3 linked regions of the Drosophila melanogaster genome follow. The protein of the gene in region 3 interacts with the protein of the main gene of each other region in a pairwise test. Each region holds a gene or a part of one and is shown on either strand. Other genes may lie near its edges.

Region 1 (6,673 bases), on a different chromosome or scaffold from region 3:
AACAGAATTTGCGGCTGCAGTTGTGCAATTTGCTCGCTGCCTGCTGTGATTTTTCCCATTGTCCTGGGCAATCCTGGGGTGGCTTGCCCGCTGATTCTCGACGTCCTTGTCCATCAAATTGAGCGTCACTTAAGTATTCAAGTGCCTGTATGTGTATCTCCCACGACCAGAGCCCCAGCCTGACTTGTTTTCTGCGCCTTCAGATACTTCAAAGATTTAATAATCACATAAGAAGTGAAGCTATTAAACCTGCCATCCCTCGCCATTCTCGAACTTCTTACGCGGCCTCAAGTGTTTGCCTTTGCGATCCAGCAGGTGCCACCGACCCTCAGATGCCGTCCACCGATGCAGGATGCGACAGGATGCGCCATCTCAAGCGCAAATTAGAGGGGATCCCCTTCGTAAGATGTACACTTGTCGAAGGACATAACCACTTTCTTAAATTAGTAGTTGTTGGAAATGTCGTACAGGTGCTGAAATATTTCGATATATACAGATAATGATAATATTAATAAACAAAATAATAATTAAATAATAATTAGATGCTGCCATAGCCATTTTGATTTACTTGAATATCAAATGAAGATATCTTATGACCTCTTTTTGTTCCCAGTGCATAATGAAGGCGGACCATCGTCGGTGGCTAGCAACTGTGTCCTTTGTTTGAGCCAAAAGTGGCGATTGTCCTTGCCGAATCCTTGCAGTCAAAGCAATTCAAGTGTCAAATCTTTTATTTGCCTTTTGCAGATTTCGCAATAAAGATTTGTATTGTCAAAGTCTGGGTTCAGCCAAGCCAGAGACCAATCCCGAATCGGTATCCGCAGTCCTTACCCCTCCTGCCCACTGAGCGCTCCGTTTCATCCGCTTGGCATATCCTTTGCCGGCTTGCTTGTGTGCAATAAATTTGCTGACAAAAGAGGGATTATTGCTGGATCATGCCGCTGTTGCTGCAGCGCGGGATGAGGACGCAGGATATTCATGTAGATATATATAGCCCGGAGATGGAGCTGGCGGTGAGGCTGAGCAGGATGTGCTCCTGGTGGCTGGTTCCTGTCAGCGTGCATTCCTCGGCGTTATTGTTTGGCCATAAGTTAATTGTTCCCCTGCGAAAGCTTTAATGCACCGCATCCTTACGCTCAACTGGCCGCCCGAGTCCTTCGTCCTTCATCCGGACTCCTGCCGTGCTAAGGCGGCGATTAACCGTAGTCTGACAGGGAACATGGATACGGCTGTGACCACGGATTGGCCCAGGATAGTGGCTGTTGGAATCGTTTAATTGCCATGGAAACTATTGAGCAGGCGGATAAGTAATGAAAAGTGGATTGAAAGGGCAAATATTTTCGATATACTAGATGCAACTCGCGGGGGATAAAGTGGGCTAATGTTTTTGAGGATGACTGGTAGCTATAGATAGATTATCCTCTATGCATGGTGAGCTATATTGTTGTTAACCATTCTACCGATACAGTTACACATATATTAATGCTGACTCTAGTCGGAATTAATTACCAATTGTTGTCATTACAGTGTACACATGCAATTAATACTCAATAGTTTGAAACACATATTCCTTTTCGATTTCCAGCATTTTCCAGTAATTGGGTACGTTTTTGCTTGATTTACCTGTTTATAAAGTTCCGAAATAGTTTAAGCGTTAGCTTCGAAAAACTTGATTACATTCTGTGTCCAACCAATTTCATTTGGCTGCCATGAAATGTTCTGTTTGCTCATAAAAAGACAAGGATAAGCCTCAATAAATTTTCCGCCTCGAAATTGGGGAGCAGGCAGAGCAGAAACGACCCCATGTAAGTATTGTATATACACCCTTCTATTTATGCCCCCTGATAATACCAACACTACTAAGCGGGATAAAGATACATACCGATGGCCGATGCCACGCCCCTAAAAATCTGGCCAAAAAATCATTGATTTGTAAGTGTAACAATGGGTAAAAGGTGGGCGGGCGTGGGGGAATTGGCAAATGGGAATTTTGGGGGTGGCAAAGCTAAAATAGAATAATGAAAACGATGCCAAGAGTGAAAGAAGCGACATCAATATGGTTCTGAATTCGAAGATGGCGGCCCTTATTGTATTCGTGTCTGTTTCCATGCATCTGTGTGTGTGAGTGAGTGTTTGGTTGTGTGTGGGTAACTTCCGCAAAACTGGAAAACTAATTTGAACAAAGTACAACAAATAAAAGTGACTACTGAATGTTTAATTTGAAAAGGGAAGGCTCCAAACACTGAATGGCGAACAACAACAATGGCTACAACAACAATGTCTAACAACTGGAGAACAAAAACAGCGAAAATGAAAAAGAGAAATAGTACAAAACTCACTTGGATACAAGTACAAATGCAGCAAACACATGTACGTCCAACCCCCTCCCGTCCCACCCACTCTACTGCTCTCTCTCTCTCACTCTAGTAGCCCCCATTGTGCTCGGAGGATGTTGGTGAAAATGGTGCATTTGATTCCATCTCACTTCCACACCCAAATAAAATATACAGAAAAAAAACCAATATTATCTATATTAGATGTATTGTATATTGTATGTATTGTTTTAAAATTATATTTTATTTCGGTTTTTTCGCATTGCTAAAATGACATAACTGTTCTATGCATTTTTTTTTTTTTTAAATGTATTTAATAATAATACATTGTATTATATACATATTTCAGTTAATCGTTCTTAGAATAACCAACAAAATATATCCTATGAAAATAAATACAATTCTACTTATCTAACTGCAAAGAAAAGTCCCTATAACTTCGTTACTTAACTTAAGTAAGATTTGTGGAATTTGGACTTTACATAATTAAACACATAATTAGATTCTTTTCTTTTTTTTCTTTCTGTGCATAGGGACAGAGGGCTGGGAATGAGATTGCGAGCCCGAGAGAAACCAAGAAACGTCGACATACGGTTAGAAAAACATTCGCACATAAAAATGCCAACATTTGAAGCATAACATTTGGGGCAGAGGAGCAGAGTGGTGGTTGGCAGGGCGAGTGCGAGGACGAGGGAGGGCCGCAGGGGAAAAGGACGCCTGCCTCCATGTGGCTGACATAATGAAACATTATTAAGAGCCACGACGTCAAAGCGGCAAAAGGTATCTAAATTTGCGCAAAATGTTTATCCCCCCCACCGCCGCGTTCGTTGGCTTCTGCAGTCGCTGCCAATTTGCCGCCGCTTGGAGAGAGGAAAACACAAATATCGCATTTACAGCCAGGGCTCTCCACCATTTTGTGAGGACTTGCAGCGAGTGGGAGAGGGATGGCACGAGCTAGTTCGCATAGATTGGTTCGCAGGATATCAACCCATCCCCCGCTAGAAAGAGAGGCTTGGCCGGGCTCTCTTGCTCTCTCTCCCTCTGCTGCGATGCTGTCGGGGCGCAGCCAGGATGCTGCCAGGATGCCGTCAGGATGCTCTGCCCGCGCCAACGGCGACGTCGGCAGTAGAATCACAGTTATTCGAGATACGAAAACACAGCAACGGCGACACAAAAGCTCAGGGAAACGTCAGCGGCAGCGGCAATGGCAGCGGTTTTTCATAAATAAATGTTTGAGTTATGTAGAAAAACATTTTGGGCGAGAAGATTTTCGTTTTCGTTGCGATTCAGTTAACATTTGGCCAGCGGATTCCGCCTTCAACGGACGCGACGACGGACTAGGCGCTAGCCAACTTTCCACTTTCCACACCACTGCTGGCCATATGTACAGTTTATCCTAGCAGCTAAACCGGAAACGACGGTAACAGCGAACGGTTAACGGAAGCGGAAATAGAAAAGAAAATATCAAATTCCAAGTTGAATCGAAAAGCATATGCAAATGCCAAGTGAAGCAAGTGAAACGCCAAAACGAACACAGTTCCTGAGCAAAATAGTTAAATAACAGTGTTGCGTCCTCTAAATTTAGTGAGTCCAATTCGCGGACTCAAATAGACTACAGTGTATACCCGCTAAGACATGCACACCAGCACGGATCCCATGCACACATTGCACGACAGCGTCTCCCTCTCGCCGCCGCTCATCAAAAGCTCCAGAGGCGGCTCCTCCATCGGCAACGGAATCGGATGCAGTGCGTCCTCGCGCACTGCCGCCGCAGATGCCATGTCCATGGGCTGCGACGACAGCGACATCGAGCCGTCGTCCATGGGCGGAAGTGGTGCCGCCGGCGGCAACGGAGACGGCTCGGGATCTTCGGGTGGTCCCCTGGTAAAGCCACCATACTCCTACATAGCTCTAATCACCATGGCCATTCTTCAGTCACCGCACAAGAAGCTCACGCTCAGCGGGATCTGCGATTTCATCATGTCGCGGTGAGTTTGCCAGCAAAGTTAATATCCTTAAATGAAGAAGCAATAGTTTGATTTTTTCCAAGTTATCTTAAAACATCAGAAAAAGAGAATAAAAGTAGTAGTTTGTAAAGACGATAAAAATAAATAAATCCTATAAAATTTCAATTGAAAACATAGAAAAGAAGAGACATTCAGTGCTTTAATCGATTTCAAAAATTATAAATTTTAAAATGTGATATTTTATTTACTGATTGCAATGTAAGTGATCTAGATAAACAACCAAATTCTTTAAAAAAAATTCCTCGAAAAAATGTTAAATAACTTGTGCATTTTACTTGTAGCTTTCCATACTACAAGGACAAATTCCCCGCCTGGCAGAACTCCATCCGGCACAATCTCAGCCTGAACGACTGCTTCATAAAGGTGCCCCGCGAGCCGGGAAATCCCGGAAAGGGCAACTTCTGGACGCTGGACCCGCTGGCGGAGGACATGTTCGACAACGGCAGTTTCCTGCGCCGGCGGAAGCGCTACAAACGGGCGCCCACCATGCAACGCTTCTCGTTTCCGGCGGTCTTTGGCACGCTGTCTCCATTTTGGATACGCAAGCCCGTGCCCCTCGTGCCAGTGCATTTCAACGTGCCCAACTTCAATGGGAGCAGGGAGTTCGACGTGGTCCACAATCCGGCGGATGTCTTTGACTCAGCGCTGCGAGCGGACAAGAAGTTTAACTTCTTTGCGAATGCCGAAGCATCCTTCTACCAGGGAAGTCAGTCGGGGGACAAGTTCGACCGGCTGCCCTTCATGAATCGCGGTCGAGGAGCGGATGTCCTGGATGCACTACCGCACAGCAGTGGCTCCGGCGGAGGAGTGGGCGGGGGATCCGAGAGCAGCCGTGGCTCCAAGTACAAAAGCCCATACGCCTTCGATGTGGCGACTGTGGCCAGTGCTGCGGGCATTCCCGGCCACAGGGATTACGCAGAACGACTGTCCGCCGGCGGTGGTTACATGGATCTCAATGTGTACAATGACGATGCGGACACAGAGGCCGATGCGGAAGCCGAGGGAGATGACGACTCATGCGAGGACAAGATCGACGTGGAGAGCGGCAATGAGCAGGAGGACTCACATATCTCGGACTCGGTGGACAGCGCCTGTACAAATCGCCTGGATGCGCCGCCGGAAGCGTTGATCTTTGAGGCTTCTGCCGAGGCGTCCGATTCAAGTCCAAGGAGACGCTTCGATAGCGAGCCCCTGGTTCTGCGGACCAGCAAACAGAGCAGCGCCAAGGACTTTCGCATCGAGACGCTGATTGGCCACCACCTGCATCGCGGTGGCAGCCAGGAGGAGACCAGCGACTAGGCGGGATTCCCACTCGCTTGAACCAATTGGCTTGTGTACAGTCCATTGAACGGTGATTTCAGTTTCGATCTAAGCACGTTTTAACAGCCCACTAACACCACCACCAGCAATCCCCAGGAATCCAATCCGAGCAGCAAGTAGTGATCAGTAGGTGTATCCGTAGGATGTAGGAGCCAGCACACGAGTTTTTAAATGCGACCAAATCGAAGTCAACGCTATAGTTGCCAGTCCACTTACGTACTAAACATATATCTGCGCGTAATATCTATGTAAATCTGAAGCATCGCACGTCTATAGTATACTTTTAACACGAATTCTTGGGGTCTGGAGTCGGGATTTCAGGTTCTAGACCTATATCTACCATGCAAGTACTAATCATGTGTATGTGTGTGCGTGTGCGTCTGCGTGTAACTGTAACACATCCAAGCAAGAGGAACACTATTAACTATAAATTAGACTAAGATTTTTGCTGATGTTATTGAAAATTGAATAAACAACAACATAATAATAGTTTACACGGATACATGTTTGACTGGTAGGTACCGATATACGTGTTGTTACTACAGCTACTACAGCATGTTACTAATATGTTTGTAGTATACTAAATATTAATTTTTAATCCTATTGATACCTGTAATATTGTATTATTTTTATAATTATATTATTATATGTGGCCACTCTCTTCCTTGTAATAATATCCTTAAAGGGATCCCTCTTTTCGACGTTTTGTTACCTTTTGTTTGCAATAAAACACCCCGAGTTATTTGAATTTACCGCCCAGCAAACCTGTCCAGGTGTGGCACCCCTGCCTGGAAATCAGTTCAGCTTTAGCGCCTGCGCAGTGACCATCGCTCAGCTGATTTGGCGCAGGACGTAGTTGTGCCGCCATAGAACGCCGTGGAGTTCGGCGCTACCAAACGAAAGCTCCGCTCTCCCACGAGCGTCCCGTTGGCTTCCAGTGTTAAAACATGAAAAGCTGCGCCTGGCAGCGGGACAACAGTGTGCCGCCGAAGA
Region 2 (7,838 bases), on a different chromosome or scaffold from region 3:
TAAGAACACTTCTGGTCCCCTGCCCGAAATCATCCATCAGTTCCGAGTGCCCGATAAGCGCCCGCCCCGCATTGTTTCTGATATCTTCACCGGACTGTGCATAACCCCGCTTGTGCTGCTTTTCGTTTTTTGGGGAAAACTGGGCATCAATGTATCTAACCTGACGCTGGCACCGAGTACGATCGGGTTTCATCTGGGTTTCGGTGGCATTCTGGTGCTGTTCTTCGTGTTCTGGCTGCAGCTTAACATGTTCCAGACACTGCGCCTGCTGATTCCCATCGCAGTATTCACATTCCTGGCTGGCAACCGATTACTGAGACGTCTTTACGCACAACGTAACTCGAAGGCAAGTGCGTCGTAAGTGCGTTCATCATTGTACGAAGTCAATAAGTGAGCTACTCTCTATCTTGCAACACCATCAGAAAACAAACTTTAATAAAGCGATTTAGTTAAGCCCAAACACACACTAAATACTGCCTTTAAATATAGTTGAATATTTTATTTGTGTATAATTTTACAGCCTAGTTTCAACTGCACAAGCCCTGACATCATAATTGTCTTAAAGACCATTTGCTAAGCAGACAGTTGTATAATACAAAAACAATGGAAACAAATGTATATTTACAATAATAACACTTGTGAAAATCTTCCAGAGCAATAGGATATGAATCTAGAGGTGAGCCTTCATGAATGGCTTCAAGTACTTGTGGAATGCTCCGTTGACTGGCTCCTTGTTCAACGGGTTCTTCTTCGTAGACTCGAAGATGTGTTCGTAAACATTTCCATCATAGGCACCCAATGCGGAATCTAGCACGCGATCGTGAAGATCAAAGCTGTCCACCAAGCTGACGGCATTCGGCCGGAATCGTTTTAAGCAGTTCTCCAGGCGAACCTCCAGTTTCGTGACATCTTGATCAGTGAGATCAATGAACTGTTGAAAGTTACATATAACATTAAATATTCTTAACTAATATCAATTTAAAATCGTACCCGCAAGAAGTCGCCAATGCGGTTGAGGCAGGCGTCTACCAGATACAGCTCCAGCACCACCTTTAGGACTTCAGCTAGTTCTGGGGACACCTCGCGCGACAAGGCCAAAAGCTCCGTATAGGCAGTCTGCGCTAGGAAGGCGCGTCCATGAAGCTACAAGTGGTACAAAATTATATAGGATACTGAGTGAATAACAGATATTTCATTACGACTTACATCTGCAGCTGCTGTTAGGAAGGTGCCACATAGATTAGCTGCCACCTCGGTACCATAACCTTGCTTGCGGCGCAGTTCAATCTGCTCATAGGCAATTCGGGTTTTGCTGATATAAAAATATGAATTTAAATACTTGGTACTTCTACCTTTTTTTCTTTAGTAAATACTTACTTGGCGGCAACGAATTGGAAAGCCTTGACAATAGACCTCAATGATCCGTCAAAGTTAACAAACTTGGTTTGGTTTATTGCATCACTGATGTACGAAACCGTTGGCACCAGCTTCTCTCCATTCAAGGCCTGCCCATAAACCTTCACCAAATAGCGAGCAGTCTGCAGCAGCATCACTGTGTTCTCGCCCTCATAGGTGCAAACGGCCGTGGTCATGCCGTATATCGTGGGGAAGTTGGAGCAGTCCATGTAGCCATGTCCGCCACATGACAGACGACACGTTTCCACGCCGGCGGCGGCATCGGCACTACAGATGGCCTTAAGGCAGCAGGACAATGCATGCATTTCGGGCAGGCGATCCAAGTTACCCTGCTCAATCTCGCCAGATATCACGTTGTACATATTCCAGATGCCATCACCCGTCGTTTTGAAAACGATGGCTTTAGCTATCTGGGGGAACAACTTCAACTGCTGCGTGGTATGGTCCATGATTTGGGGCTCCGGTTGATTGGGATCAATGGGACTCTGTCGGCGAACAGCTGAATACCTAGTGGCAATAGTGGATGCCTTTGCCAGGCTCTGAGCGGTATCACGGATAAGAGCACAACGCACAAACATCTTGAATGAAAAAATGGTTAAAATCTCTGTGAAGATATAGTGAATATGTGTAATAGTACCATAGTTCCGTAGGTAAGCACGCTATTCTTCGGCGCCACATATGTGCCATCGGGCAGCACTTGCTGGTTCTTCATCAGCATGTTGTTTAAAGGCACCCGTACGTTCTTCAGTCCCAAATAGCCATTGTTGACACCCTTCATGCCCAGCTTGGTACCAATATCTCCAATGTCGATGCCGGGCATGGGACGGTGAGTATCGGAATCCCTCAATTGGACAATAAAAGGAGCCAGACCACGGAACTCGCCCTTGGTGTAGAGTTGTGCCACCACAACCGCATGGTTAGCAGTGTGTCCCACTGCAAGTCCCAGATTTTATAACAATTTCAAAATATTAAGTGTTCAAGAAAACTCACATCCACCGGGCCACCACTTGTATGCACTGAGTGATGGAGTGTTTATAACAAACTCCTGGGTGCTGGCATCGTAGTCAGCCCTGGTCTCCAGACCGCGCAGGAAGGTTCCGTGTCCCAGTTCCGTTTGGGCATAGGTGCCAATGATTTCACAGTCCCAGGCCTTGCTCAGCCATTCCACCTGCTGATCCATCGTTCCCTGGCCCATGATGGTGGGCACGAACATCACGTAGTGCAGCGCAAGCGGATTGCCCTCCTTTAGAATAGCCGATCCCAAGGATCCACCAAGCAGAGCACTATAAGCACACAAATTACAACCTGAAGTACATTAAATATAAGGATTTCTTTACTTGTAAGTATCCACTCCATCCTCGCCATCAGCACGTAGCTTGCGGATCTTCTCTCCTATGATGCAGGCTTTGCGCAAGCTGTGCTCATAGAGCTCCTTGTGTGACAAATAGGAAATGGGCAAGTCGTCCTGAAGGGCTGGATCCTCCAAAAACAATTTCTCTGGAAAAATCATAAACGAAATTTAATGTAAATGAAGCCATAAGGAAAGGGATTTAATATTTTAGGAGGTGTCATTTAGATAAGCATTGTTGAATTTTGCAGCGTAATCATGAGTGGAAAGTATTCTTCGTTAATTCGCGGGAGTTACTGGGCATTGTCCATTTATGATGCCCTGAGCGACCGTGCAAATCTGTCAGATAAACCTATCAGCTAAACTAATTTCAAGTGGACCTGGAAATAGATGGTGGGTAGCTGCAAACATTCAAAGTACACAAGTAGTCGGATTGATCGCGATTCGCGCGAAGTTCAAAGATTAATAACTTATGAGCTGGCTAATAGGTGCTGATTAACTAGTAGCGGCTTGTTTATGCGGAATACATAATTAATGAACTTTGGGCCACGGCGTGCAGCAAAATCAACAAATCGCATGAATGAATGGACGGAGAAGAAGCGTATCAAAACAAAGAAGTTGACAGGATGTTTTGGATAATTTATCAGTGGCTGACATGGCTAGCATCAGAGTTTGTACCCTACAGATTAGCTATAAATGCGTTAAAGCCTAGCTTAATTGCCAAGTCATGCTTTTGGCACAATTTCTTGCATCCACTGTTGGGAAACGCGATTGCGCCAAGCTCAGATAAAGCTCTGAGCGACCGGTTAATGTGAATGTACATGTAGGTCTGTCGGGGTCACCGGAGAAGCTTGAAATCCGGTGTTTTTCCCTTCTAAGCTAACTCACCCAGGGCCTTCTTCTCCTTGAATCGCTCCTCGCCGCCGGCCCACAGAACGGAGAACTCCCGGGGATTGAAGGTGGCCGTGCTGCGTTCCTTCTGGAGATCGGGATTCACTGGTTTGGCTGGCATTTTGCTATGCGGCACAGTATTCAAGTCACGTAAACAGGTTATGGATTAACGAGCCACCGCAAAGCGTCCGTCTTCGTTGAATATCGCGTACTGACTGATTGTTGCTGGAAAGGCGAATTGCGCTCAGTGGTCAGTCAGTCGGTCACTCAAGTGCTGGTGGAGGAAATCCAGTGGAGGAGATTGAGATTATGGACTGCTGATCTGATCCAGCTATTCCGAATCTAATCATCGATGCCAGCTCTCGAACGACGTGAACTTTAACCGCGAAAATACACATGTAATAAGTTCGCTTTTGTGTTGAAATAGTCTGTAGCACAACCATTATTCTCACGCCATTGTTGTTGGGCTACATTTATGAGTAAATACACAAAATAAATACACTGCATGTAAAAAGTACTTGGGCGTTTTCTTTCAGTTTGTTTCTAATTTAAATAAGATTGCTTTCATAAGCTTCTTTGTTCGTATAATTTGTTTGCAAGTGAATAATGCAAATTCACTACATCTTTCTGCATAAATAACATCTTTAAAATGTCTCAAATTAGCCGTTTTAAAAAAAGTAGGGTATTTGAATTCCGCCTTAATTAATAGATTAATTTTGTTTTTAGCAGCTCTTTGTTTGTATTGTGACGAAATCAGCTGTTGAACAGGGCTGCAAAATACAAACAAGTACGGCAGCACTCGACAACTCCAGGGATACAGTCACCATAATCTTGGCGCCAATTCAAAAAAATTCAAAAATTCCAATTTTATTAAAAACATAGATATATTTGCTAGCTAAATGATCATGAGGTAACACCAATCTTTGGCCTTATAGCATAGGTTCAGGCTTGCACATACGGAAACACGTAAAATTAAATCACGATTTAATACACTTACTAGGTGGTAAATTCATTTGGCTTAGGTCAGAACATTATTTATAATATCCGCTTAAATGCCATGGGCATGGCTAGTGGCTATAGCTATGCCCCGCTGATGCTGCCCCATTCCAGAGTCATAGGAACAGCTGGCCGCTGGCTCCATTTGATGCACTTCCGCCGGATACCAGTGACTGTGAGATTCCGGCAACTGATGGTAACTTAGATCCGCCGAAACATGGGTTTCGCCTCGCGTAGTCTTCGGATAAGATTGCGTATGCAGGGTTTGCCAATCCATACGGGCGGATGAGGTGGTTGATGATGATGGGGCAAATGCCAAACTCCGGCTACTCTGGTGGAACTCAAAGGGCCAGCTCTGCAAGACAGTATAATGTGGAATGTGTGGATAAAACAGGCATAAATCATAGGAGTTGTGGAAACCGCAGGGGCTATATATGGAACAATATGACGACAACCCATCCCGAGACAGCGCCATTGTTTGTTTACGCAACTTTGATTGTTTTTAGTGCCCACCCCCGCCTCCACGTCTAGATCTACAATAACAGCCTCATTAACGGATCTATAAAAACATAAACAGCCAAACACTTGCGGACAAGAGACACTCATTTGTATGCCATACAATGAGGGATTGGAAATGGGATATAGGGATGCTAGGGCTAGCGAGCAAATAGCGAACCAATGGGTTGTTCCCAACAGATCATCTTGGGCGCGTGGATGGTATAAATTCGGATAGGGTCGGGACTCTCCGATCCGATCTGATTTGCCACCATATGGGCACAAGACGGAGCCGTATTTGCTGAATTTTTCACGCATTCGGTGTGTAAACAATTGCATCTATTTAGATAAGTTGTGCACGCCATGAATCTTGAGTGATAGATTGTGTAAACTCCAGCGGGAATGGCTGATGGATAAACACGGTTAGACAAATTTTAATTACAATAATCCGAGTGGGAAAACTACTGAGGATGACACTTTCCCTCGCATGTCATTCACTGTGTCGCTTCAAAGCATCAAGAGCATCTTTAAAAATAAAAAATAAAAGCAAAGACTAACTAGTGCCCCCCATCCAGATCCGCAGGTCTGCGTTACCATCTCCGTTCCCTGCCCGCTCCACCAACAGCCTGTCACTCATATTTAATATTTTCGAAATTCACAAAAGTATCGGATTACAGGAAAGCAAGGCAGTCTGAAATCACAAAATGTGATTTCGGTGTTCTAGTGGGGGGCCCGGCTGAATGGCTGACTCCGGTCATGGGATGTGGATGTGGTTACGTTTGTGGTTCACCTCCACATCTAGAAAAGGTGGAAATACTTGTCGCCGCATCGCGTCCGCATCACCAAGCAGATGTTGCACCACATTCCTTTGGATTTTTGATCTATATTTCGCTAAAATTGCGTTGAATTACCCCTATAAGTTGAGTAGTATTACTAAATACTTAAGTTGCTTGTTAAAAAAAAAATGAGAATAATAGATTGCGTATACGTTTAAATTGTAATAGTATCAATTTTTTAAATTTTAAACACTGAAGCCTGGGTTTCCGTGTAACTTTCCACGATCTCTAAGTTAAAATTCTACGAAAGGCTAATTTCAACTAGCAAAATTTACAAATATCTACCTACTTTATTTCCTTAATGGCTTTTCAAAGAAAACGCATAAAAGAAAAATTTTCATTCCCAATACCAAACTTTCCATAAAAAGACATAAACTTATGGGAATCCCGATCGGCTGAACATTACTTCTCAATTAGACTGAAATCCATGAATAAACATTGATCTTGGGCATATCACTGGGCATCCCCTGCGACACCTGTCATTAACTGACGAGATCCACCTGAAGTGGCCGGCTCATTAATGCGTTCCCGTTCCCCCGAGCCGCGGGTGCAGTGCATCGTTAAGTGGTGGCAGTGACATCACTTATATTCGGGCAGGGGGATCGCAATTGCATGACACTTACCATGCCGTGTCCGTTGTTGTGGAAATTATAATTGCCTCCACCGGACGAATCTGCCATGTGACTTGTGTCCAGGCCTTCGGAACTGGTGGTACTCGAGTGACTGTGGTTGAGGCTGTGGTGCTGGTTGTGGTTGTGCGGGTGGTTCTGCGAGTGGCTGCCTGTCTCCACAGCCGTAATTAGCTGCTTGATGTAGAGCGTGGCCAAACGCAACGTGTCCAACTTGGAGAGCTTCGTGTCCGGCGGAATGTTGGGCAGCTTGGTCTTCAAACGTCCGTAGGCGCTGGATAAAACCCGCATACGCATCCGCTCCCGGGCATTTGCCGCATTTCGCTGCACCGGCGGTTGGGAGCCTGGAAAATCAGAAATGTAGATACATCTTAAGGAGCTCCAATAACAAGAGATTAATTAGAAACAAAAGGTTTTATTGGTATCCACAAAAGTTTTAAGTTACATTATAGATATCTTCGCAAAGTATGAAGTTCAAAAAGCATATGGAGTATGAATTTTAAACTCAATTTATATCTATTGTGCTTTCTGTTATTATAATTTTTATCATTATTATTATATTTTCATTTAGAGCTTAACGCATTTTAAATTAACATTCCTTTTAAGGTAAATTCTAAAGTTCGATTTAAAAAATTCTAAGGAAATTGAATTTTACTTTAAAGTAAATAATAAATTTACAAAACTAGCTAAACATATTTACATTGTCAACGTTTTTAAGCGTTTATAATACATCTTTTTAATATAAGTACAAAATCACCTATAAATTGAAATCGAACTCACTTTGAGAACTGGCATCCTCATCGAAGTCGTCATCAAAGAACTCCGTGGGGCTGGAACTGCGCTTCTTGCGTGGCATTGTTCAAAAACAAGTTGGTGGTATCACAAGAATCACTTCGAATATTTTCAAATTGGATATAAAATTCCAATCACTCAGTTTTCTCACTTAAAATCGAAACGCACCGAACCGAAACCAATCTGTGAGTCGAATACGTCCGATCTGCGTGGCACGTAGAGCACTTCTGTCACGGGTTACGGGGAGATCCTCCTTTTTGAGCATTCTGCTCCGCAGTTTGCAGCTCTCCAGATTCCGTCTATTTCTGGCACCTCTGGTGGGCGTGCCTGCTCCGCAAACAGTCCCAATTGGCGGAGGAATCCGGACACATGGTGCGATCGGCGGTCTCTTTCTCGGTTGTTTGCCTTCTGGCTGCCACCACATTGGCCACACAG
Region 3 (7,372 bases):
GGAGCTGGTCATGACGCATATAGTTAAGCAAAACTAAACTAGTTTGAACTAGCCAGATCCTCTTCAAATGCCATCCAAGGATAACTAAGCAGAGCTACATTTATGGAACCCAATGACCCAATCATATTTTTTGCCAGTCATGAGTTATATACTCTGAAAATTTAGGCACGACTAGCTAGTGGATTTCGCGGTAAGATGCCATCGTCACAGTGAATATAGACTCCAAAGGGTGAAAGGTAGAAACATCCGTCTAGTCTTCTCCATCTTCTACAGCTTTTATTTAACGCGTTACAAAAAGGTGCGCTTCCCGGGGAGTCTCGGAAATCGGTAACTGTGCTCCTAAAGGCTACCAGTTCACTCGAATCGCCCCACTAGCTTAAGATCTAAAAAGGTATTCAAATGTCCAGATGAAGCAGGCCTCCATCATCTAGCTTGCGGGAAGTGCTGCTCCCTCCATCTGGTGGGTCTTGGGGGTTTTGTAGATTTTAGTGGCCGTACTTCTGGAAATCCCACTCGCGGTTGTCCAGTGGGCATACCTGGCGCGTCTTTAGCCAGCGAGAGATGCAGTGGAAATGGAAGGCGTGGTTGCAGACGCCCCAGGCCACGGTGCACTCCTCGCTAGTGGCGGACGCCTGGTTCGCCTGACACTCGATGCACAAGTCCATGATGTGGTTGCGGCAGATGGCGCAGTTGTCCACCACGATGTCTGCATCGAAATGGAATGCGGTTAATCCCCCGACTCGGAGCACTACAATTCGCATTACTACTTACCCCAGGCCCACAGAGCCACGGCGTTCCACTGTTTTCGGCGAAGCGGAAAGGATGAAGTGTTACCATCAGTACATTCATTGACAATGACCCTGCTTTTTTGCTGACCACTTACCTTCTTCACCTCAAAGCGCTTCTTATCGCCCTTGCTGCTGCTGGAGGGAACCTCGTATCCATCCTCGTCGACTTCCATGGTGGAAATACACCTATTTATCCTGACAAAACTCTCGCAACACAAATGCAATTTTCACAACTAACGTAGTTTTGGCTTTTCTGTCCCTATCCTTTTCGTTTTAATAGAAAACCACTCGCAGTGAGGCTCAAGCAGTGTGACCGCCGCTTTTTCTCGTAAAGGTGGCGAAACATCGATGCCAACATCGATGGCGTCGATGGTATCGATGGTATTTACTGCACATCGGAGAAGATATGTGTATATATTGTAAGTATAAATTGTAAGTTCCATATTTTTTAATAGAATTATTAATAACATATCGCAAATTTAGTGTGACTTGCTGGTGGTGTTGGCTGATGTCCTGAAAGACGTGGATAAATATCTGAAATTTAAGTTTTTAACTCCTGAATAAGGAGGGATGAAGACGTAGACGACAATAAGTTTATGTTTAGTTAAAATACTGCCTTTTTTATTTAGTCAATATTAAAAAAGAAAATAATATTTAAATTAAACAGATAATTTTTTTGTTTTTATTTAAAACATCGATGTTTAGAACAACATGTTTAAAGAATATGTTTAAGACTTTGATATTTTTCGCCAAATCGGAAACATCGATGTTTCTCCACCACTATTTTCTCGTCTAATTCAATAACGATTCCGATTCGTGTCGATAACCTTTTGGTATCTTAATCAAAATTTTTAATGTTTTGTTTATGGTATACCGATCAAATTGCAAAAAAGTAAAATCGAAGAAAAATCAAAACATTTTTCAAAAGTATATGCGTGGCAGTTTTGGGCGGTTTGTGGGCGTGGGAATTAGTTTTTTGCAATTCAAACAGGACTTATAACAAAATTTTAAAAATATCAAAACATTTTTCAAAAGTGCGCGCGTAGCGTTGGACGACACTAAACTGGGCCACATGGGTCAACAAACTTGCGCTGCGACTGTCTGTTTTATAGTTCCTGAGATTGAGGCGTTCATACGGTCAGACGGACATGGCCAGTTCGACTCGGCTATTGATCCTGATCAAGAACATATGTTTATACATGTATACTTTATAGGTCGGAAACGCTTCGTTATCCATAATTACAAAATTGTATTTTATTCATTAATTGCTGATTGAGTTCAGTTGGTACTACAGTACATCAAGTACTTTTTGAATTATTTTCTGTTCGGCAAGTAGCCCGTTTACGAAGAGTAAAAGTTGCAATAAATTAGATTTTTCAAATTCAGGGCTCCGGCCATCCTGCCCTTGAGCCACCTCTTCTGCTAGGAGGCACCGCCCGCTTTGTGGCCACTGCCCTTTTCCCGCTTGACTATCGGCAGCCGCGTCCAGATGTAGCCGCCCGATCTCTGGGCAGTGTACTCATCCACGTCCGGCAGGGGAAACGGGGTGCTCCGGTCGAAGTAGTAGTTGCTGGGAGCATGCATCACGAACTCTAGGTAGCAGAGCTTCCGGGACAGCTCCTCATCGGGTCCTGCAGGCACGGGAGTTAAGCAAAAATACAATTTAAAAAACTTTGGGTAGCAGGCAGGAGGACAGGACTGACATACCGATTAGGTAGGTAGGGGGATCGAAGCCCTCCTGGGGATCCGGACTGTCCTGCGTGGGAATCAGCCAGGTGAGGAAGGCGGACTTCTCGCAATAGGCGTCCACAAGCAGACCGCGTATCTGGGCGTAGTACAGATTCTGCTCGCTGTCCACAATGCTGACGATATCCCCGATTTGTATATAGCTGCCCTTGTGGAAAAGGCTTCTCACGAACCTGGTGCTCGCCTGCACCTTGGGAGTTTTCTGTGCTGGTTTCTTGAAGAGAGCGCGGCGATTACGGGCTCCAGTGGCCCCGCCTGTGCCCGCTGGACCGGACTTCCCATGCTTGTTGGTATTACTGGGATGGGCGCCAGCGCCCGCGAGGTGCACGGAGCTGCCGGTGGAACCATTCGCCCCGCTATTGTGGCCATTTGACTGGCTACTGCCGCTTCCGGGAGTGCCCTTGCCCGTTTGCTTGGCCTTGAAGCGCGTGCTCTTTCGCAGACGCTTTATTATCGTTGGGGAGCGGGTGGGCGCCTGGTTGGCTGTGCCATTTAGACTGCTACGGGTGATCTTGCCCGCAGTTCTCTGGCTGGGATTCGCTGCTGTCTCCGGCGAACTGGGCGCGACTTCCTCCTGAGCCTGCGGCTGCGGCGGCGGCTTCACTGGCTTGTCCTCCTCCTCGATTTTGATGGCTGTCGGATTGCTGGGCGGTTGCACGGAGCCGTCCTCCAGTGGCTTCTGGTCCTGCGCGTCCTTCTGCTCCTCCTCCTCTTTTTTCTCCCGTTTCGTTTTGGAATCCATCGGCTGCTCCAGCTCGGCCACCGTTGGCATCCGTTCGCTAGTGGTAAGATCGTTGTCTATCTCCATGTCCACGTCCATGTCGGTGGAGTCCTTCTGTGGCTCGCAGGAATAGGAGGGAGCTGCGACAATGGAGGCCAACGCCAGATCTCCAGCGGCTTCTGCTTGGAGGCCGTCGCCTGCGGTTGACACCTGGTACATGGGACTGACGCACTTGTTTAGGTCGGCGTCGGTTGACATGGCTAATCCATGCCCTTATTCAGGTCGTAGTGATTTTTAAAACAATAAATGCTTCAATGTGCTTGTTCTGCTATGCAAAACAACGTAATTTGTGTAGTATGTTTTTGTTAAACCAGTGTTGCCAGACCGGATCGGCGGGGGCTGCCAGGTAGCCAACTGTGCTCTGACTAATGCAGCCCTGGTTTTTTTAGGAATTCAAAATAGAAAGAAGAAATACCGGTGGAGATTCCATATTCAATTTCTCGCCAGTGGCGTTTTGTTAGATTTCCCTATCAATTTCGTTGGTAAAAGAACGTTGACCGTTGAACGTTCGGCCACCGTTGGCATCCGTTCGCTAGTGGTAAGATCGTTGTCTATCTCCATGTCCACGTCCATGTCGGTGGAGTCCTTCTGTGGCTCGCAGGAATAGGAGGGAGCTGCGACAATGGAGGCCAACGCCAGATCTCCAGCGGCTTCTGCTTGGAGGCCGTCGCCTGCGGTTGACACCTGGTACATGGGACTGACGCACTTGTTTAGGTCGGCGTCGGTTGACATGGCTAATCCATGCCCTTATTCAGGTCGTAGTGATTTTTAAAACAATAAATGCTTCAATGTGCTTGTTCTGCTATGCAAAACAACGTAATTTGTGTAGTATGTTTTTGTTAAACCAGTGTTGCCAGACCGGATCGGCGGGGGCTGCCAGGTAGCCAACTGTGCTCTGACTAATGCAGCCCTGGTTTTTTTAGGAATTCAAAAACGTTCAACGGTCAACGTTCTTTTACCAACGAAATTGATAGGGAAATCTAACAAAACGCCACTGGCGAGAAATTGAATATGGAATCTCCACCGGTATTTCTTCGACCGTTTATATTATTAGTACATTAGATTCGATGGCAAGTGTGTATATAAGGTAGAATTGCGCTATACTGCTATTTTTAGTTCGAATTCGCAGAAGATGTCATAATTTAAGCGTAAACGTAAACATATACCTTGTAGGAACTAAATTAAAAATGGTCGAGAAGCCAATTCAGAATTTAGCATCGATAAGTACGCAAAAGCTTTCTAAAGAGTTTAGGTGTAGTTTCGCACGCTTTCAAGAGCTATTCATTTCTTTCTGCTCCTCCGGGACGGCCCAGCAACCTAAGCATGGCACATTACTTAAAAGATGTCATTTATTTTGAGTTCGTACGTCTAGTTAATCAATGTAGTACTCGCGCTATTGAACAAATTATCCTATATAATTTAAAAAAGTTTGTTAAAAAGGGCTGCGCATACCATTCTGCTTCACTTTTCGTTCTTACTCCGGATTGTTTTGTTATTTACTCTTTACTACTCGTATAGCTAATAAGATCCTTACACCTAGCGAAAAAAATAGTGACAATAATGGGGATTCGGGAATAAAATACATTTACAAGGAGTCATGCCTGGATTTTCGGGGAAGGTGCGCGGAAAACCACGAGTTTTCCACGACGTATGGTATGGTTGGGGGAAAGGGTCATGTGGCATAGCATCGCTTTAAGATCATTGGGGCAAAAGGGCTCCTTTTGCGTTTGTGTTTTCGCAACGCATGGGCCTTTAAATGTTGCGGTTTCGGTGGTTGCCGCCTCGCTGGTTGCGATTGTTTCCGTTGCCGTTTCCGCCTGATCCTCCGCCCGGAAAGTGCCCTCCTCTGCCGCCATTATTGTTGAAGTTATTGAAGCCCATGCCCATGTTGCCCATTGAATTCATGTTGTTCATGACGCCAGCTCCTCCCCCATTGTTCCCACCAAATGGGTTGAAGGGATTGCCATTGGGCACAGGTCCTCCTCCTTGGTTTATCCCCAACTGGCCAAGTCCTCCCAGATTGCCAACGCCCTGGTTTAATCCATTGCCATTCGGAGGCATTCCCATCAATCCTCCGCGTGGCGGTGGCTGATTGAAAGGGGGTCCCACGTTGCCCATTTGCATCATCATTCCCGACATGCGAAGCATTCGTATGTTCGGTGGCGGTAGCCTTAACATTTGGCTCAGATTTGGTGGGGGTTGCGATAGATTGGGAAGCACTACTCCTCCTCCTCCTCCTCCTCCTCCTACTCCGCCTCCAGAATCTCCGCCGCCACCAAGAGCAGCACCATTACCGTTGGGCTCCTCGGGAATCTGCACCACCTCGCCATTGTCATCTACAAAGATAAAGAGCTTGGCAAAGATCTGCTGCAACGTTGTGTTGTTCACTATAAAGCTGACATCGAAAATTTTCGGAGCATCATTCGGCAGCTGATGGAACTTCTTGAGCTCGGTAAAGACCAGGGCGAGCTGTTGGTTCACCATAATCTTATTGTTGGTGCCGAGATTGTTGTACCAGTTGGAAACCTGCAGCAGGCTTCGGATTTCCGAGATTTGCTTGCTGCCACCAGAGGCATTGGGTGCTGTGGTGTTTGCCGTACTAGCACCTTTAGTTGGAGCCTGCAGAACGGCTCTCCTGGGATCGCGACGTGGATCTGTCCGCACAGTTGGCTTTTCCACCTGTATGTTCGGAGGTGGTACCCTCATCGACGGCGGTGGCACACTCATTGACGGTAGGTTTACCACGGACGGGGGCGGTGAACTGGGGGTGGAATCACGAACGGCGGTCTCCAAATCTGGGGAAGCGATGGTCGTAGCGCAACGCGCAATGTTGTCGACCGAAAAGGAGCTTGGGCCCATAATGGGCACGGAGCCCAAGGGTCCACTGTTATCAGGCGTTTCCGGAAGGCCGAGAATCCGACGCATTCGAGGATCGCGTAGCTCCCGCTGCTCCTTGTGCAGAGCACTGGCCCTAATCTGAGCATAGCTGCTCTCCTCTATGGTTACTTCATGCAGCTGCCAGCGTATCGGAGTGTGCGAGAAGATCGCCGCGTCGATCTCGGTGGCAGGCATATAGTGTTTCATCGGCTCGAACGGCAGTCGCATGTCGGTATCACGCTGGTACTGTTCCTTCTCCTCCGTAAGAAGCTCCTGTCGCCCGTGCTCTTGCTCTTTGACGGGATCGAAGTCATACATGGAACGACGTACATAGAGCGAAGGAGTTGTCGGCGGCAACGCTGGTGCAATGACAGGCAATTCCGGCATATCCTGATCGTGGTCCTCCGGCTTGGGGGATTGGGATCCCGGCTCTGGCGTGGGAGTTGGCGTCAGGGAATGCGAATTGGAATTTGAGTTCTCATTGCTGGAGTCCACGTCGCCATCGCCACTGTGAGCCTTGAAGGGATTGCGTATTATGTCGCGATAGAAAGCTGCTCTAGCCTCGGGGTCAGATTGTTTGTCGCCGAACAGAATCCGGCCAAGCACGTTGGTTGAGGTGCCTCCGCCGATGGGCGCGGATTTATGTGTCGATTGATCTCCTCCAGGCAAATGCGCATTCTCCTGATTGGGCGAAGTGGCACTTGCGGGCAGCAACTGCCTCGCTGAGGATCCCTGACCCAGCATGTTGTTCATGAAGCTCGGCAAGTCGAAAACAGAAGGCAAGGGTGCCTCCTCTGTGCTTGATTCATGGGTGGCGGCTGGCGGTGCCTTGGCTTTCTTAGGTTGCTGGTCCTCTTCGGCGGTGGAATCGTTGCCATCGTCTATGATCAGTTGTTCGTCGTCATCCCGATCGTCGTCCACTGGAATGAAATTCGCAAGTTAATAAAATTATTCATAACGCCGTGAAGAGAATGAAAAGAAATAGATTAAGTTCAAATGGTGCCATCTACTCACGCGGATCGTTACCCGAAAAGCTGACATGTGCATCCTTGAGGTACTGCGTGTAGTCCACCATGATGAGTCCGTTGCTCTTCGAGTTACTATTGTTGGCCTCCGTTTCCCGCTTTGAAGGAGGAGTGCTAGTGAACATATATATTAAAATAAGGAAATTGTAATTTGT

The links. Proteins that work in one complex are often made in the same cells at the same time.
Region 1: the proteins of CG13367 (region 3) and fd59A interact in a two-hybrid assay, tested with the Drosophila melanogaster proteins (one large-scale study listed by BioGRID).
Region 2: the proteins of CG13367 (region 3) and ACOX1 interact in a two-hybrid assay, tested with the Drosophila melanogaster proteins (one large-scale study listed by BioGRID).

The regions. Positions count from the first base shown.
Region 1 is NT_033778.4:22,864,534-22,871,206, forward strand, and holds fd59A (forkhead domain 59A), read left to right. Parts: upstream 1-3,625; 5' UTR 3,626-3,968; coding exon 3,969-4,321; intron 4,322-4,641; coding exon 4,642-5,659; 3' UTR 5,660-6,173; downstream 6,174-6,673. UniProt on the Drosophila melanogaster protein: Involved in development during embryogenesis.
Region 2 is NT_033778.4:17,757,204-17,765,041, reverse strand, and holds ACOX1 (acyl-CoA oxidase 1), read right to left. Parts: upstream 4,103-7,838; 5' UTR 3,777-4,102; coding exon 3,653-3,776; intron 2,914-3,652; coding exon 2,754-2,913; intron 2,700-2,753; coding exon 2,407-2,699; intron 2,350-2,406; coding exon 2,054-2,349; intron 1,995-2,053; coding exon 1,378-1,994; intron 1,313-1,377; coding exon 1,207-1,312; intron 1,144-1,206; coding exon 991-1,143; intron 932-990; coding exon 671-931; 3' UTR 501-670; downstream 1-500. Other genes in the region: OstDelta (oligosaccharide transferase delta subunit), read left to right, coding at 1-361; HLH54F, read right to left, coding at 4,704-5,006, 6,606-6,955, 7,392-7,467. UniProt on the Drosophila melanogaster protein: Catalyzes the desaturation of acyl-CoAs to 2-trans-enoyl-CoAs. First enzyme of the fatty acid beta-oxidation pathway.
Region 3 is NC_004354.4:641,037-648,408, reverse strand, and holds CG13367 (uncharacterized protein), read right to left. Parts: upstream 3,649-7,372; 5' UTR 3,514-3,648; coding exon 2,496-3,513; intron 2,420-2,495; coding exon 2,211-2,419; 3' UTR 2,023-2,210; downstream 1-2,022. Other genes in the region: Roc1a (regulator of cullins 1a), read right to left, coding at 486-706, 772-961; su(sable) (suppressor of sable), read right to left, coding at 5,068-7,112, 7,207-7,331.